Linked DNA regions of Solanum lycopersicum. Each later gene encodes a partner of the first gene's protein in a complex. Links are inferred from orthologs where the notes say so. Each region holds a gene or a part of one and is shown in the gene's direction. Other genes may lie near its edges.

Region 1 (5,338 bases):
TTGAAAATTTTGAATCAATTTAGACTATGTACATGAGCTCTATATATGCAAACCTATGTACTAAGGGGTCGTTTGGTTGGAAGACAAGTTATGGTACAATTAGATATATTAGGAGTACGAAAAATTAATGAATTGAATAATTTTGCACAATACATAAATATGTCCTTTAATTTGGCTTCAAATCACATTTATGTCTTTCAACTTTGGGTGTGCACAAGTAGACACTTAAACTTATATAAAGTTGAACAAATAGACACACATGTCCTACATGTCATTTTTTGTCCAACGTGGTGTCCTACATGTATTTTGCCATGTAGGACTCATGTGTTTTAAAAAAATTTGATAGTTAAAGTGTATGTTTGTGCATAATGAAAGTTGAAGGTCAAAGTTAAAATTTGAAGCCAAGTTTAGAATCCAATGTATGTATTATGCCAATAATATTTAAAGAATAATTTGTTTGTTTACAAAAATACCCTCCATCATTTAAAATAGAAAATAGTTTGAAGAACATCTATTATTCCACTCTCGAAATAACTTTTCATGATACTATTAATTATTATTATTCTTGCTATTATAATCAAATAATGGATAAGAATAATTAAACGATCTCTAATGATCGTTTTGGTAGTTGGTTAGAGTTATGCATTGATATCTATTAGTAATGTAGTGATTATTTATGAATTAGTCGATCCATTATTTTATGCAGATATGAGTTATTCGTGTATTAGTTATCCATAAGACATACATTAGATTATTAGAATTAATTATTCCACTTTCTATTATGCATTAAATAATAAATAGATTTCATCATAAGTTATACATGTATTAATTGTGCAGATTTCTTAACTGTCAACTAAACATTGTATTAATTTTGTACATGTATAATTTATTTTCTATGATTTTATCCACCTACTAAACATGTATAAGTTGTACAAAAATTAATATGAGTAACTTGTTTCTCATCCAGCTTCCAATCACTTATATACATGTAATTATTTTCATTATTTGTGTCTATGTAAACATAATTTGACATGAGATTGAAGTCTCAGTCTAATAGTTACAAGTAACAACTTTAACTTGCATGTAAATGCCAAGTCTAAAAACAATATGCGTACGAATATATGTTTTTCAGGTCATTAGAAACTTTTTATGTACTATCGAACAATAATTTGGTGAATATAAAATGGAGGTTATTTGAGTTAATAAGCTTTGATTATTTTTTTATTGTTGCATCTTTGTGGTTTATACTAGGTCTTACTCCAACTAAATAACTTATGAAACAATGCAGATAAGAAATTAATTGTGTCAACTTTGTACTATACAAGTTACATGAAAATTAATTGAGAAGTCATCCCTATATTTAATTACTTTATGGAGAATCGAAAAGGATCAAATTTGTTTTTGAACTATGCAATTAAAACAAATTTGTCATTCATTACTATGAAGGTCAAATATGTCCTTGTCGTTACTAAAATGGGCTAAATTTGCCCTCGTTACCCCTCCTATTCTATTTTACAAGCACGTAGTAATAAACAAAGATCTCAAAAGTTTATTTTTTAATGAAAAAACACCACACTTGGCTTCAAGTTGCTTGATCTTGCATTTGATGTTTGTGAACAAAACGACCAGATATGTTCAAATTTGACCTCAATTGGCAAGTTAACACTTTAACTTTGAGTATGCACATCTAGATACTTCGACTCATCTTTAGCGTCCAGCTTTGTAAGTAATCATCTAGACACCTCTAAAATTTACATGTCACATCAGCATCAAGTGTCCACGGAAAATAGAGGGGTTGTTAGTTGAGATCAAATTGAGTTCAATAGATATTTTTACTTAATAGTTGAGATCAAGTTTGAGTGTGCCTATTTATATCTTATGCCGATATTCTTTATATAATATTTGTATATAAACTAGACAAACGAGACTATTATATATTGTGATTTGTGATGGATGGGCCTTTAGTAGATGGATTAGTAATAATAATAATTGGACCTAATGTGAACCGAAAGCCCAAACTTGAAATACGAAAGCCTTCTTCTCCGAATCCTCTTCCCCTTTCTCTGTAAACAATCAATGGAGTCCAAACCCTCAAGCGGATTCGGACCCTCCAGTAGTCCTCTACTGTCTCTCTCCACCTTCGTCCACCAGCACTGCTCCCGACTCGGTGCTGAACTCGCTAACCGATTCGACGAAGCGAAACGGCTGAGTTCTAAAATCGCCGCCGATTTTATGCAGCAGCCGCTGCCAGCGGCGATAGGGAGGAGTTGTTCGTTGCCGTTGCATTCTTATCATCTATCTCTTCCGTTCGCTTCGGTGTCGCAGCGTCAAGAGAAGGTCGCTAAAAATACCGGTTTGAGCTCGGATTATGTTGCTAAGACATTAACTGGAACTTCTGTATACACAGTTAGCAATTCTAACAATGAATTCGTGCTCATTTCGGACCCGAATAGTGCGAAGTCAATCGGATTATTGTGCTTCCGTCAAGAGGACGCCGAGGCATTTCTTGCTCAGGTGAACTTCATTTTTTAAAATGAATTTATCGAATTTTTTCTCTATAGAAGAGAGTGAAAGGAGAGATGAACTCCTTTATCAAAGTAGGGTAGCAGGAAGGGGAAAAGATATGTATAAATTAGCCCAAAAGAGAAAACTAAGTTAAAGATGATTGCTTTAAAAGAAATTATTGGGTAATTATCATTGGAACATTGCCTTCAAAGGTCAAATTATTTATTTTTGGGATGTATTGAACCTGAATATAGTGGAATTGATACATAAGATAGCAGATACAGAAGACATAATGTGGACCTTATTAGTTTGCAATTGAGGCGTTGTTATAGAAGTTTTGATATACATGGAAGGCTTGTTTGTGGAGAAATGAACACGTGAAGATTTTCAGGTACGGTTGCGGAAGAAGGAAGTGAGAGGTGGAGCTAAGGTAGTTCCGTTGACACTTGATCAGGTGAATTTTTGTTTCCTTTTGCTAGGAATTTTTCTTTTAAGGATGTATCTGCTTTGGTGATTATTTTCTTCTTTCCTTTTAAAAGTTTGTACATTCATTTGAAAAGAATTGCAAACTTTAGGAGTGACATTAGATTACTCTATGGAGAAGGCCATTTTCTTGTTTTAAGGATTGAACTTTAGCAAAATTTTAGTACCATGAAAGTGTCTGGTAATAGATATGGTATTTGTGATGGACAGTTTTGTCTCTAGTGCTTATCAAGATTGGTTGGTGGAAAGTCAGAAGCTACTGATGATCGACTTGTGTGTATATGTACAATCTATTTCTTTGCATATATTGATAACTTCTTCTTGCAAGAATGGGTATAAACTTTGATGGTTATTGAATCGTCCCTTATTAGTTAAAGAAGTGTTGGATTCAAATACAGCAGAATGGAGATACCGATCCTAACTTGTTTAGATTGACACATAGTTGATTGATTGAATCAAAACAGAGCATGCATGGTATTTAGCATAAGCAATGGAGTCTTTTCAAACGCACCCCTTGAGATAAGGCTCGATTAGATTACCTGACCATCTCAGGTTAAGATTAATTTACTGAGCCATTTTCCTTTACCATTCCTTTTAGTGATTTCTTCTCTTTTACATCATTAAGATAAATTGTATGCATTATTGATACATTTTGTATCTCTTGTTCATCCATAAAAAAGGGGATCCTATCGTGCTCCTTTTGAGCCTCAGACGTCTGATCTGTCCCGTTTAATATATCTTCTTCTGCTATTAAATTAAAAAGAAAAAATTGAAGCTTAACTTAAGAATGAAAGACATTTTTGTCTCTATTTAACAGGTCCAGTGTACATTAAATAATCTACTGCAACTAGTTGCAGTTGTCTGTATGTGCAAGAATTTCTGTTTTTTGCTTTTCCATTTCTTCCTAAAGGTGTTGCCAGGCACTTGTCCCGTATTTTGAATAGTTACACGTCTTTCTTGTTGGTATCACTTTGCAGGTTTACATGTTGAAGGTTGAAGGAATCGCATTTCGTTTTTTGCCAGATCCTGTTCAAATTAAGAATGCAATGGAGGTAGTTACCCATGTTGGTCATCCTTAAGTTTTGTGTCTGGGATCCTTGTAATTTCCACTGAATGTAGTAGAATTGCACAAGGACGCCTGTTCAGTTGTGCAAGTGAAAGTTATACTGTATATGTATATTCATCTACCTGTGATAGTTTTACGTGAAAGTACACTGGCATGTAGCTTTAACTAATGACCAGATTCCAGAGGTGGTAGAATTGCTTGCAACCCATCAATTTTTGAGGTCCACTGACATACCCTTGTTTTTTCTTCTCTTTACTGTTAATTCAAATATTTCCAAAATGGAGGTCTTTTCGAGATTTGAACTTGGGTTACTGACATGCCTGGTATGTAGGCTCTTGCTCACTAGTCTAGTAAATGAAGCATAGATTATTAATGGCTTGACCTCCATTGCCACCCAACTTCTGTCTCCTCCTCCTGGAAATATCTATTTGGCTAAACATAATATTTCAATGCATGCTTATTAAAAAAATCTGTTCATCTCAACATTGTCTTTTCCTGTGACAGTTAAAAGCTTCTGATGTAAAGACTGGATTTGATGGAGTCCCTGTTTTCCAGGTAGCATATAAACTTTTTTGCCAACTGTATGCAAAAAAACTCTAACATTACATGCTCAGCCTGTGTATTTTTTGAATTATGAGCCTTCACTCACTGGAAAGCTTTTGCTAAATATTTTGTATATCAGAGAGTGGACTGCTGAATATGGTTAAACTCCGCTTAATTCTGTAGCTTTTTGTTCTTGTGCAGTCAGATCTCCTAGTTGTGAAAAAGAGAAACAGACGATACTGTCCAATATACTTTCGAAAGGTATGTTGGTTTTTAATATCTTGAACTGGAACTAGTCAGAAGAAACAAAAAATTAGATATAGTTATTATTCGTGATGGTTTTCATTGAATTCCTTTTCGGGTATACAGGAGGATATAGAAAAGGAGTTATCATCAAGGGCATTGAGAGGATCTAGTGTCTCTCAGCACATTATGGTATCATAATCACTTTTATCTTTCTGTTTTCTTTCTGATAGGGCGTGCAAATAGATTAAGAATGGTCAAACATGCTAAGAGGTGAATATATGATGTCTCTGAGAACTTACTTTTAGTAAGTGTTTTGGAGTAAATTTCATTCGCATTGATCTCTCTTTTATCAAGTGTAACATTGTCTGAATGCGTAGAGGATTTAAAAAATTGAATTTACGTGCTACAGGTTTCACTTGGAGAGCCTAACATTGTAAATTTTGCATGTAATGGAGAGGATTAATGGTTGAAAGTTTTTACTTGAAAAATATAGCC
Region 2 (3,808 bases), on another chromosome or scaffold:
AAAATAATCACGAACGTTGGCCAGCTATTTTCTTTTTTCTCCCTGATATTGTTAATGGGTGATGTCAAATTTGAATAAATCGAACTGCATATTGTAAATAAGATGAGACGAAGTATGAGTTGCTTCTTTCCATTGTACACACTTATGGCTAAGTTAATTGTGTAGCCATGAAATTGTATTATCCATAAAAGCAGCTTGGTTTGGATGTTCATAAGAACTTGAAGGTGTCCTTCAACGACGAATTAAGAAAGGAAGTCCGAACAACCTTAAAAGAAAGAAAGTCTAACATGACATTTTACGTACCTATGATGATTATAGGTCATGTTGCTTGTTGCTTCCTTGCTTTGGCAAATCTCTTATTTTTTACTTGGAAAAAACCGAAAATTAGCGTGCATATTTGGTCAACTTGAGAGGGTGCGGGAGGTACTTGAGGACGCATAATTAGCTCTATTGTGCCCCCCCCCCCCCCCACCGCCAAGGCTTTGGTCCAGTGGTAAGAGCGTAGTACGTAATGTGTGAGCTAGGGGCACATCACAAGCCGTGCCTCAATTGGCCCGCGGAGAATTTTCTCAACTATCAGGAAAAGAAACAACATAATCTGCTTTATTGTTGATGTAGAGCTGAGGTATTTTGGTTTAATGTTTTCCTTTTATTGACTAAGCAGAAAGGGGATCTTCCACCGGGGAGAACACCAGTTACCAGATCAAGCTCGCCATTACAATTTCAAGATTCAGAGATTGAAAAAGAATTGAACGAGTTAAGGAGGCGGGCAAATGACTTCTAGAGATCACAGTCGATCTTTCACACTACAAAACATCTTCCTTCAGGCATTTGTTACTCAAAGATTGTGGCTTTTGGATCTTCCGAGAAGTTGCCTCATCGATAAAGGCCAGCGAATATAGGAAGTGAAACTGGAAAAAGTATATTGAGATATGTTGATATATCTTTTTTCAAATTATTGACCTACATTATGGCAATATAGTGTAAGCTAGTCCTGACTACAGTTTTGTATACTGCCACCCAAATGTTTTCATGTGAGAATAGTCACTTCAAGTTGCATTGTAGTAGATTTGGAATTTCCACAGTGTTGTTTTTGCTCTCATTTTGTGACGACATGCTTCAAACTTTCTTCGCAAGGTACGGGCAAGGTTGTGTATACACCATCCTCCTCAAAATCTTATTTTTGTCTCATAAATAATGAGCTACTCGGAATAATGTAGCGATGGTCCCTTTCTCTTTGACATGAACTTAGTGAAACTGAGTTCTCTGCAAAGATGCGGTGTAGCGAATGTAGGGTTGTTCAAAATTGATCGGAACCGATATTCCGTATCGAAAAAAAGTTATTGGTTTAGCGGTTTTGAGAACGGCTTTGATTTTTTTTTTGTTATCGGGTTATCTTTTGAGGTTATCTCTTAACTGGATAACTGATAATCCGATGGTTAATTAAATAATTATATTCATATCATTTTGCTTATAAAGTCCTTAATTTAGAGTTTGGTTTCCTACTTTTGTTTCTGATTGTCTCAAACACTTGGTTATTCTACGATGTAAAAGTGTTTGCTTTTGAGCAAGATGAAACTTGTGAATTCATGTGCATGGTTAAATTGGTTTGCCACCTTGTTCTAAAGTGATTTTCAATGTGTTTTTTTGTCAAACTTAACGGTTAAATAAATTATCGAACCGAACGATCAATAACTGATAAGCTAATCTTAATGGTTCTACAACCGTTTAGCATATCTACAAATCGATAACTAATAAGTCAAATCGATAAACTTCAAAGCCGAAGTGTTCGATATGTAGCCCTAACTGAACGGATAGACGATAAGACCCTATGTACCTCAACTATAACTTAAATGTGTACGATAAGTTAGAGATGGCAACACACAACAATCAATTGATTAATCCTGAACTTCACAACAACTTTAATCGAATGTACAGATGAGAGGTGGCAACACATAACATAACAACCAACTGACAAAGAACTTCACACAATCTTAATTGAACCTATATGATATTTGAGAGGTGGCGACGCACAACGAGCTATATTGAAAATTACTCGTTGATCAATCAATAATCCGTTGTAGTCTAGTTGGTTAGGATACTCGGCTCTCACCCGAGAGACCCGGGTTCAAGTCCCGGCAACGGAAATTATTTTTTTTCTAATTTTTTAATCAAAATAATGCATTACAACTTGTACCTCAAACAACAAAAATCCATCTTTATAAACACCCAAAAAAAACCTCACATTTCCCCTAAAAATGGCTTCCATTCCTCTTCTCCGTTTCACTCCCACTACTACCCCTCGTCTTCTCCCCCACCCTCTCAGCCTCAATTTACTCCAAACCCGTATTCAAACCCGAACCCGTATCCATACCAAACCCACCACTTCCATCTCCGCCTCTTACAACCCAATCCCCGCCACCGACCGCCTTATCTCCGCCGTCGCTTACTTTCTCCCCTTCTTCAACGGCCTTCAATACGGCCGTTTCCTCTTCGCTCAATACCCAACCCTAGCTCTTCCATTTCAACCAATTCTCCCTCTTCTATCACTCTACCGGTCCCTCCCATACGCTAGCTTTGTCACTTTCTTTGCACTCTACTTAGGTATTGTTCGGAACGAGAATCTGAACAAGTACCCCCGGTTCAACGCCCTGCAAGCGGTGGTGCTCGACGTTCTACTGGTGCTTCCGATGTTGATTCAGAGGATATTTTCACCGGGTCAATCGGGTATTGGGCTGAAATTTACGGTTTGGATGCATAATGGGCTTTTTGTGTTTGTTGTGGGCTGTTTTATTTATGGGCTTGTTTCTTCTATACTTGGAAAAACTCCTTATTTGCCTTTTGTTACTGAAGCTGCTAATAGGCAAATGTAGTTCTTTTTAAAATTTATTTAATATGTTGTTTTGTGGTTTTCTCTAATGAAAGGAAGGTTTTTGTTGCATAGAATTGTAATTTTAATGTATGATATTTTAAATCGAATCGTCGATGAGATGTTTCTCCATGAGAGATGCAATGGAAAGGGCTCGTAAAGTTCAAATCTTGATAAAGTAACTTCTTGGGATAAATAATAATATCTTGATTTTGTAATGGAATCATTACACGTTATACTTCACACCGAACAACTCGTAAATGTACTAGTAATAATGGGTTTTCAATAATACATTGTTTCTTTATCAGCTATCAAACGATCTCTAAGGAATATCAATGGCTTTTGTTGAATAGAGAATATAATTCCTTTGCTTATATCAACACTTTTCAAGGTTTGGTCTACATGCATATCATACATTGTCCTCCTCAGATCCCACTTGTGGGATTACGCTGACTATGTTGTTTCTGTTGTCGTAAGTTACATTGTTAAAGGGTTGAACTTCAACAAAGAATAATAAAACTACATTTTGTTCATCATGCAAGGCCAAAACCAGAATACTATCATTGACCAGAAAAACGATAGGGCTTCATAACCTGAAAACCATCTCAATGTAACCATAGGATCATTCATTCTTCTGGTGAAGCAAATTAGGGAGCTCTAATTGAACGACTCTTGCAAGTGTAAAACCTTTAATCGCGCCAAATCTTCATCACATTAGAACTACCATAACTTGAGTTGCTAATAGACTCCCAACAAGTCGCTGCGTAAACTATACAGTACTCCAGCCAACTTCTTTCCTCACTTTCCTGTCTTTCATTATTTTCCTCACCATTTCTACCTCTTCCCACATTCCTACACAACTATATAGGTCTGAGATTGAGATGTAGTACCCATCATTTTCCGGATCAGACTCAATAGCATGTTTTGCGATTCTTATAC
Region 3 (5,250 bases), on another chromosome or scaffold:
AATTAAATAATTAAATATATATTTAGGGTAATTATGATATTACCCTTAGCCTGGAAAAAGGTCATTTTACCCCTAGACCCTCCAAACTTAAGATTTCTCCTTTTTAAGTTCGATAAAGACTCATCCGGGTAAATCTTCATATTCGGGAGCCCTACATGTCTGGACCCAATCTTTCCTAGCTCAACTAAATCCCCAATTTATTTGTCTTGTCTGTTGCAAGGGTTCAGAGGCCTGGTTCTACGCGCATCAATCCGTGTGAATCCGATCTAATCGTAGAAATTCTAGACACATTATGCATTACTTATCTTATACATTTTTAGGGTTGTTACAGTATAAATAGCCAAATGATACATAGAGTTTCGTTTTGAGTTCCAAAAGTTCTCTTTGGAAAATAAGGTTGAGAGTTTGAGAACACTTTACCTTTAAAGAACACTTTTCTAGTTTTGGAGGTTTTACAACTTGGTGCTTAATGTTGATAAATTGAAGTTGAACCTAAAGTGAGTTTACTCTTAATTGCTTAATTTCAAGTTATCCATGACTGCTTTCATGGAATGCATACATTCTTTATATTTTGTGATGATTGGTCAAAACCCCAAGATCTAGGAGTGCTCAAATGGAGTTGAGTGTTGATTTAATGTGCAGAGTATTGTTTTATGCTCTGTTTTGTTGTTGTTCATACAAGAATTTGATCTAATTACCATAGGTTTAACTTGAAGGTTAAGGCTGCAAACTTAATTCCTACATCTGATCTCTGGTTGATGCTCGAAAGAGATTGAAGTGGGTAATTAGTTTAATACTAGCAATTTAGGTTTGATGTTTGTAACTTGCTTGAAAAAAGGTTATGAGTTGGATCTATTTCTTTGTTCTTGAAAGAAAGAATAGAGTAGGGTATTGAGTTGTTTAAATTGACATTTAGATGAGTCCGAAAGAAGATTCTATGCATAGATGCTTTGAGATCAAAGATAATTAACGTCAATGAAGATGACTTAGCATATTCATGAATTTTCATCTCTATAAAGCAGCACAATCACCCATTCCAATCCCCGCATCCCTACATTGCTTGTTAACTCTTGGATTCATCTATATTTTAGTTCAATTTCAATAATTGATAACCTAAGCTTTATATTAAGTTGATTGTATTATCCACCCTATTGTTCTTACTATTACAAATGTGTTAAATTAAACTCCAAATTTCTTGATAAGGAATTCTCCACTATATATCATTCCATGTGGGATTCTATCCGTACTTTTCGCTAAGTTTTACTGATAGTGATTTGAGCGTTATCAGTCAACTGCTGCTACTATTGATTAGTGACTCTTCATAGTTCGAGGGCTAGGTCATCACTGGCTTTATCGTTTCTAATCTTTTCAATTTTTAGATATTATTCGTGGCGTAGAAGTTCATGTTCTAGTCACATTATGATTAATAGAGGACTTGTCAAACATAGACAATGTTCCATGTATTCCCTTATGTACTATGTTGGTATCTTTTATGCCATTGGTAGATTTACAACTTATATTGATTATATCTTTTGGATTGTCTTTATTATGTCATACTCATGTCAAGTAGTTTAATTTGTTTATAGCCTCTTGGTGTTTCATTCGCCATGTCGCGCCTAGGGATACTTTGCATCGTGACAATTTTATTTATTTTCTTGATTTTTCTTTTATATGTGTACTCATAATTTTATTTAATTAAATTAGCTTATAAATTTAATTTATTTAGAAAGAGTTGTTTGTTACTAAATAAATTCAATACAAGTCAATGCAATATTTAAAAATGTTAGTTGTTTAACATTTACTAATTGAAAAAACAAATATATCATCACATGACATTTTTGATCTTAGTTGTATGTATTATTTGTTGATATATATATTTTCTTATTATTTTGTTGATTAATTTATAAAACTACATACATATAACGAGTTTTTGGCCAAAAACATATTTTTATGTGTAAACTACTTTGGTTTATACAATTTTAATATCGTTTATCGATTTACAAATATAACAATTCATTGGTGTTGAAATGCGGCAAATGACAAATAATATTATGTTGACCCAATTACAAGATAATAAACCTATGTTATTCCAAAAAAACAAACAAACCTTTATTATTCAACTTGTACCCCCTCAGACCCCTATCCTCTTCTTCTTCTTCCTAGTTCCAAACTCCGGACGACTTGGTTAAACCCTACTTGAACATCAACTAGTTATTAGAAGAGGTAGTAGATATGAACCCATCATCACTTCTCCTCCCTATCAATCAACCTCCTCCTGTCAACACTTTCCGCTCTCAATTTCTCAATCCTACACCTCTCCGTCTTACCCCTAAATTCTACCTAAAACGCCGCATTCAGTCCACCGTCATTTCATCTTCATCTGCCTCTCTTCAGCACAAACCTACTTCCGTCAACCCAGATGTCTTTGGAGGTAAAAAGGAACTTTCTCCTATTCAATCCCTTGTTGATGCCATGTCACCCCCCATAAGAATAGCCAGCTCCGCTTTGATATTTGCTGCTGCTATTGCTGCTGGATACGGTCTTGGTCTTCGTTTTGGTGGATCCCGGAATGCTGGGCTTGGTGGTGCTATTGCTTTTGGTGCTGCTGGTGCCGGCGCTGCTTATGCATTGAATTCTTGCGCTCCTCAAGTTGCTGCTATTAATTTGCATAACTATGTCGCTGATTTTGACAACCCTGCTGCCTTGAACAAGGAAGATATTGAATCAATTGCCAATAAGTTTGTCCACTATGCACATTTGGCTTTTTTTTTTTTAAAAAAAAAATATATATATGTGTTATCAGTGACTAATTAAATTAGATACCAAGTGTGAGCAAGTTATTCTCTACTGCAGAATCTTGGACTATTTAGCTACATTATGAGCTCTCACACCCAACTTTCTCATACTTATTTTTCTACGTCTTTTCCTTACCAATTTACTGCTTTTTATCTTTAAGGTATGGTGTCAGCAAACAGAATGAGGCATTCAATGCGGAGCTGCGAGATATATATTGCCGGTGAGTGCAAAATCAAGTACTGATTTCTTAAAAACTCTTACGGCTGACACGAAACTTGCATTTATTACAATTTTTCAATGTTATATGATAATCTCTTTTTTTTCATTTTTGGTTTCTTCTCCCTGACTCTCGAATGACAAATTTTTCTTTTTATGAATTGCTTGCTTGGATATAAATAACTAAATTTTACCCTTTGAAGCACTTTGTAGGATAAAGTATGGCTTTTGCACTTTGTAGAATAAATTTATTGTTCTTCCATTCCCAAGATGTGTCCCAAAGTGTGTCAAGTTTTGCAAATCAAAAAAAGAAGGAAAATACTGTCACCTTTCTGGAATTACAACTTCTTCCACATACTTTTCTAGTTTTCTATAATATTTTAGTTCTTTATGACCCAGAAAGTGTCAAATTTTCTAACCTTGTCTTGACATATTGACCCAGTTACATTTGAATGGAAAACTGTCCATCCTGTTGTGATACTTGTCTTGGACACCTAAAGGGAATCAAGCATAGTGTTTCTCTGATCCATTTATAATGTTTATCTTGAAATTTGAATGTTTTTGACTATTTTATCTACCAATGACAAGGAATGACTAACTTGGTAGTTTAAACATTGTCAGCTTATCTACCGTCACATATGCATCCAATTTTGTTTGTGTTCAGGTATATATCTGCTGTCCTTCCTGCTAGTACTGAAGAACTTAGAGGCGATGAAGTTGATACAATAATCAAATTTAAAAATGCATTGGGAATTGATGATCCAGATGCAGCAGATATGCATATGGAGGTAACTTGAAGTATCCATCTGATTCTGTACCTAAGAGTTGTAAAACTTCTAGCTGTGGTTGGCTCAAAGTTAAAATGTTATGTTATCAAATAATTTACCAAGTATTAAGAAACTCTTACATGTTGATCTCTCAGATTGGTAGGCGAATCTTCAGGCAAAGACTTGAAACGGGAGATCGTGATGGAGATATGGAGCAACGTCGGGTGGGTCATCTCTTCAAAAAGCTTCAGTTTCCAAAGACTACTGCCTTAAGTTATCGAATAACAACAAATGGAACTTGATCATTTTTGACTTCTCCAGGCATTTCAGAAGTTGATATATGTCTCAACTCTTGTATTTGGAGAATCATCTGCTTTCCTTTTACCTTGGAAACGTGTTTTCAAGGTTACTGATGCCCAGGTAGCGGATTATTTATCACTCTCTCCCTCTTTGTGGAGTATTCAGATTGTGCAGTGGCATGTCCTGCTTGTGTGGTTTTAACATTTCTGTATTTTGATTTGAGGTTCCTGTCATTTGTCTCTTTCCCTGCCCCCTTCATTTATGTAATATTAGATTTCTATATAGTGCGACCCCCTGTGTCCTTTTACTCGTTTTAACATTTTTGCCATTAGGTTGATGTTGCTGTCAGGGACAATGCACAACGGTTGTATGCCTCCAAGCTTAAGTCTGTTGGGCGAGGTAAGTTTTCTCTATTGATGCCTTTGAAGGCACTTTTACTTCTAACGTAACCTATTCATAGGAAACCATTTTACTAGTTTTCTTTTGCATACCTAATTAAACTAATGCTCTTCCAAACTACTTGTCGATATTCTTGGGTATGTTTTCTAAAATTTTCGATCTCTATTAAACTGATTCTAATAAATCTGTATATGTGCTTAAATTTGGCTTTTTTGTGGTATGTGGTGCTTAATCCTGAACAAAGATGAATCATACCATGAGGCTCCACATATGTGGCATGGGTTTAGTATGTTCTATTCATGCACTGAGTAGAGACTTTTTTGAAGTCTTTCTGTCGCTTCAAATTTCTTTGCATTTTAGTGATATATCCTATTGGTTTATGGGTTTTGAGAGCCTTCTGACGATAGCTCTTGAATCTGGACATCTCGTTATTGCTTAGAGTAGAGGGAGTCTTTGTATGATTCCACCAATCTTATATGGAAAATGCTAATTCTTTCATTATCTTCACGAACTCCACTCTTAGTAGCATCTACCTTGAAATTCTATGTTATGGACTTGTGGCGGTGTCAGGGTGATATCACTTGTTTCTTTTCATGATTTAATTCCTGCACTGCACTTCAGTGGTTTTGCATGGTTAATTTAATTACTTTACCTGTTCCAGATATTGATGTGAACCAGCTGATCAGTTTGAGAGAAGCACAGCTTGCATATCGATTGTCCGATGAGGTAGTGCCTAAAAAAATTATCATAATTCTGCTTCATATCCCTGTAG

What was found.
Region 2: protein TIC 22, chloroplastic (region 1) and protein TIC 20-II, chloroplastic share a complex: the UniProt entries of both Arabidopsis thaliana proteins name them as parts of the tic complex. The link is inferred for Solanum lycopersicum from reciprocal best matches to the Arabidopsis thaliana genes Tic22-IV and Tic20-II.
Region 3: protein TIC 22, chloroplastic (region 1) and protein TIC110, chloroplastic share a complex: the UniProt entries of both Arabidopsis thaliana proteins name them as parts of the tic complex. The link is inferred for Solanum lycopersicum from reciprocal best matches to the Arabidopsis thaliana genes Tic22-IV and TIC110.

The regions. Positions count from the first base shown.
Region 1 is NC_090803.1:65,447,321-65,452,658, reverse strand, and holds the start of protein TIC 22, chloroplastic, read left to right. Parts: upstream 1-1,963; 5' UTR 1,964-2,076; coding exon 2,077-2,514; intron 2,515-2,896; coding exon 2,897-2,959; intron 2,960-3,965; coding exon 3,966-4,040; intron 4,041-4,558; coding exon 4,559-4,609; intron 4,610-4,798; coding exon 4,799-4,858; intron 4,859-4,966; coding exon 4,967-5,032; intron 5,033-5,338. UniProt on the Arabidopsis thaliana protein: Involved in protein precursor import into chloroplasts. Imported into the intermembrane space via the Toc translocon. May be involved in the import pathway used by proteins without a cleavable N-terminal pre-sequence.
Region 2 is NC_090810.1:3,715,521-3,719,328, reverse strand, and holds protein TIC 20-II, chloroplastic, read left to right. Parts: upstream 1-2,221; 5' UTR 2,222-2,258; coding exon 2,259-2,873; 3' UTR 2,874-2,946; downstream 2,947-3,808. Other genes in the region: membrane-associated protein VIPP1, chloroplastic, read left to right, coding at 665-784; pentatricopeptide repeat-containing protein At4g39952, mitochondrial, read right to left, coding at 3,639-3,808. UniProt on the Arabidopsis thaliana protein: May be involved in protein precursor import into chloroplasts. Not redundant with TIC20-I, TIC20-IV or TIC20-V.
Region 3 is NC_090808.1:26,784,364-26,789,613, forward strand, and holds the start of protein TIC110, chloroplastic, read left to right. Parts: upstream 1-2,088; 5' UTR 2,089-2,232; coding exon 2,233-2,738; intron 2,739-2,956; coding exon 2,957-3,016; intron 3,017-3,676; coding exon 3,677-3,800; intron 3,801-3,934; coding exon 3,935-4,003; intron 4,004-4,100; coding exon 4,101-4,199; intron 4,200-4,411; coding exon 4,412-4,478; intron 4,479-5,139; coding exon 5,140-5,204; intron 5,205-5,250. UniProt on the Arabidopsis thaliana protein: Involved in protein precursor import into chloroplasts. Forms a voltage-dependent cation-selective channel at the inner envelope of chloroplasts, which specifically responds to a transit peptide.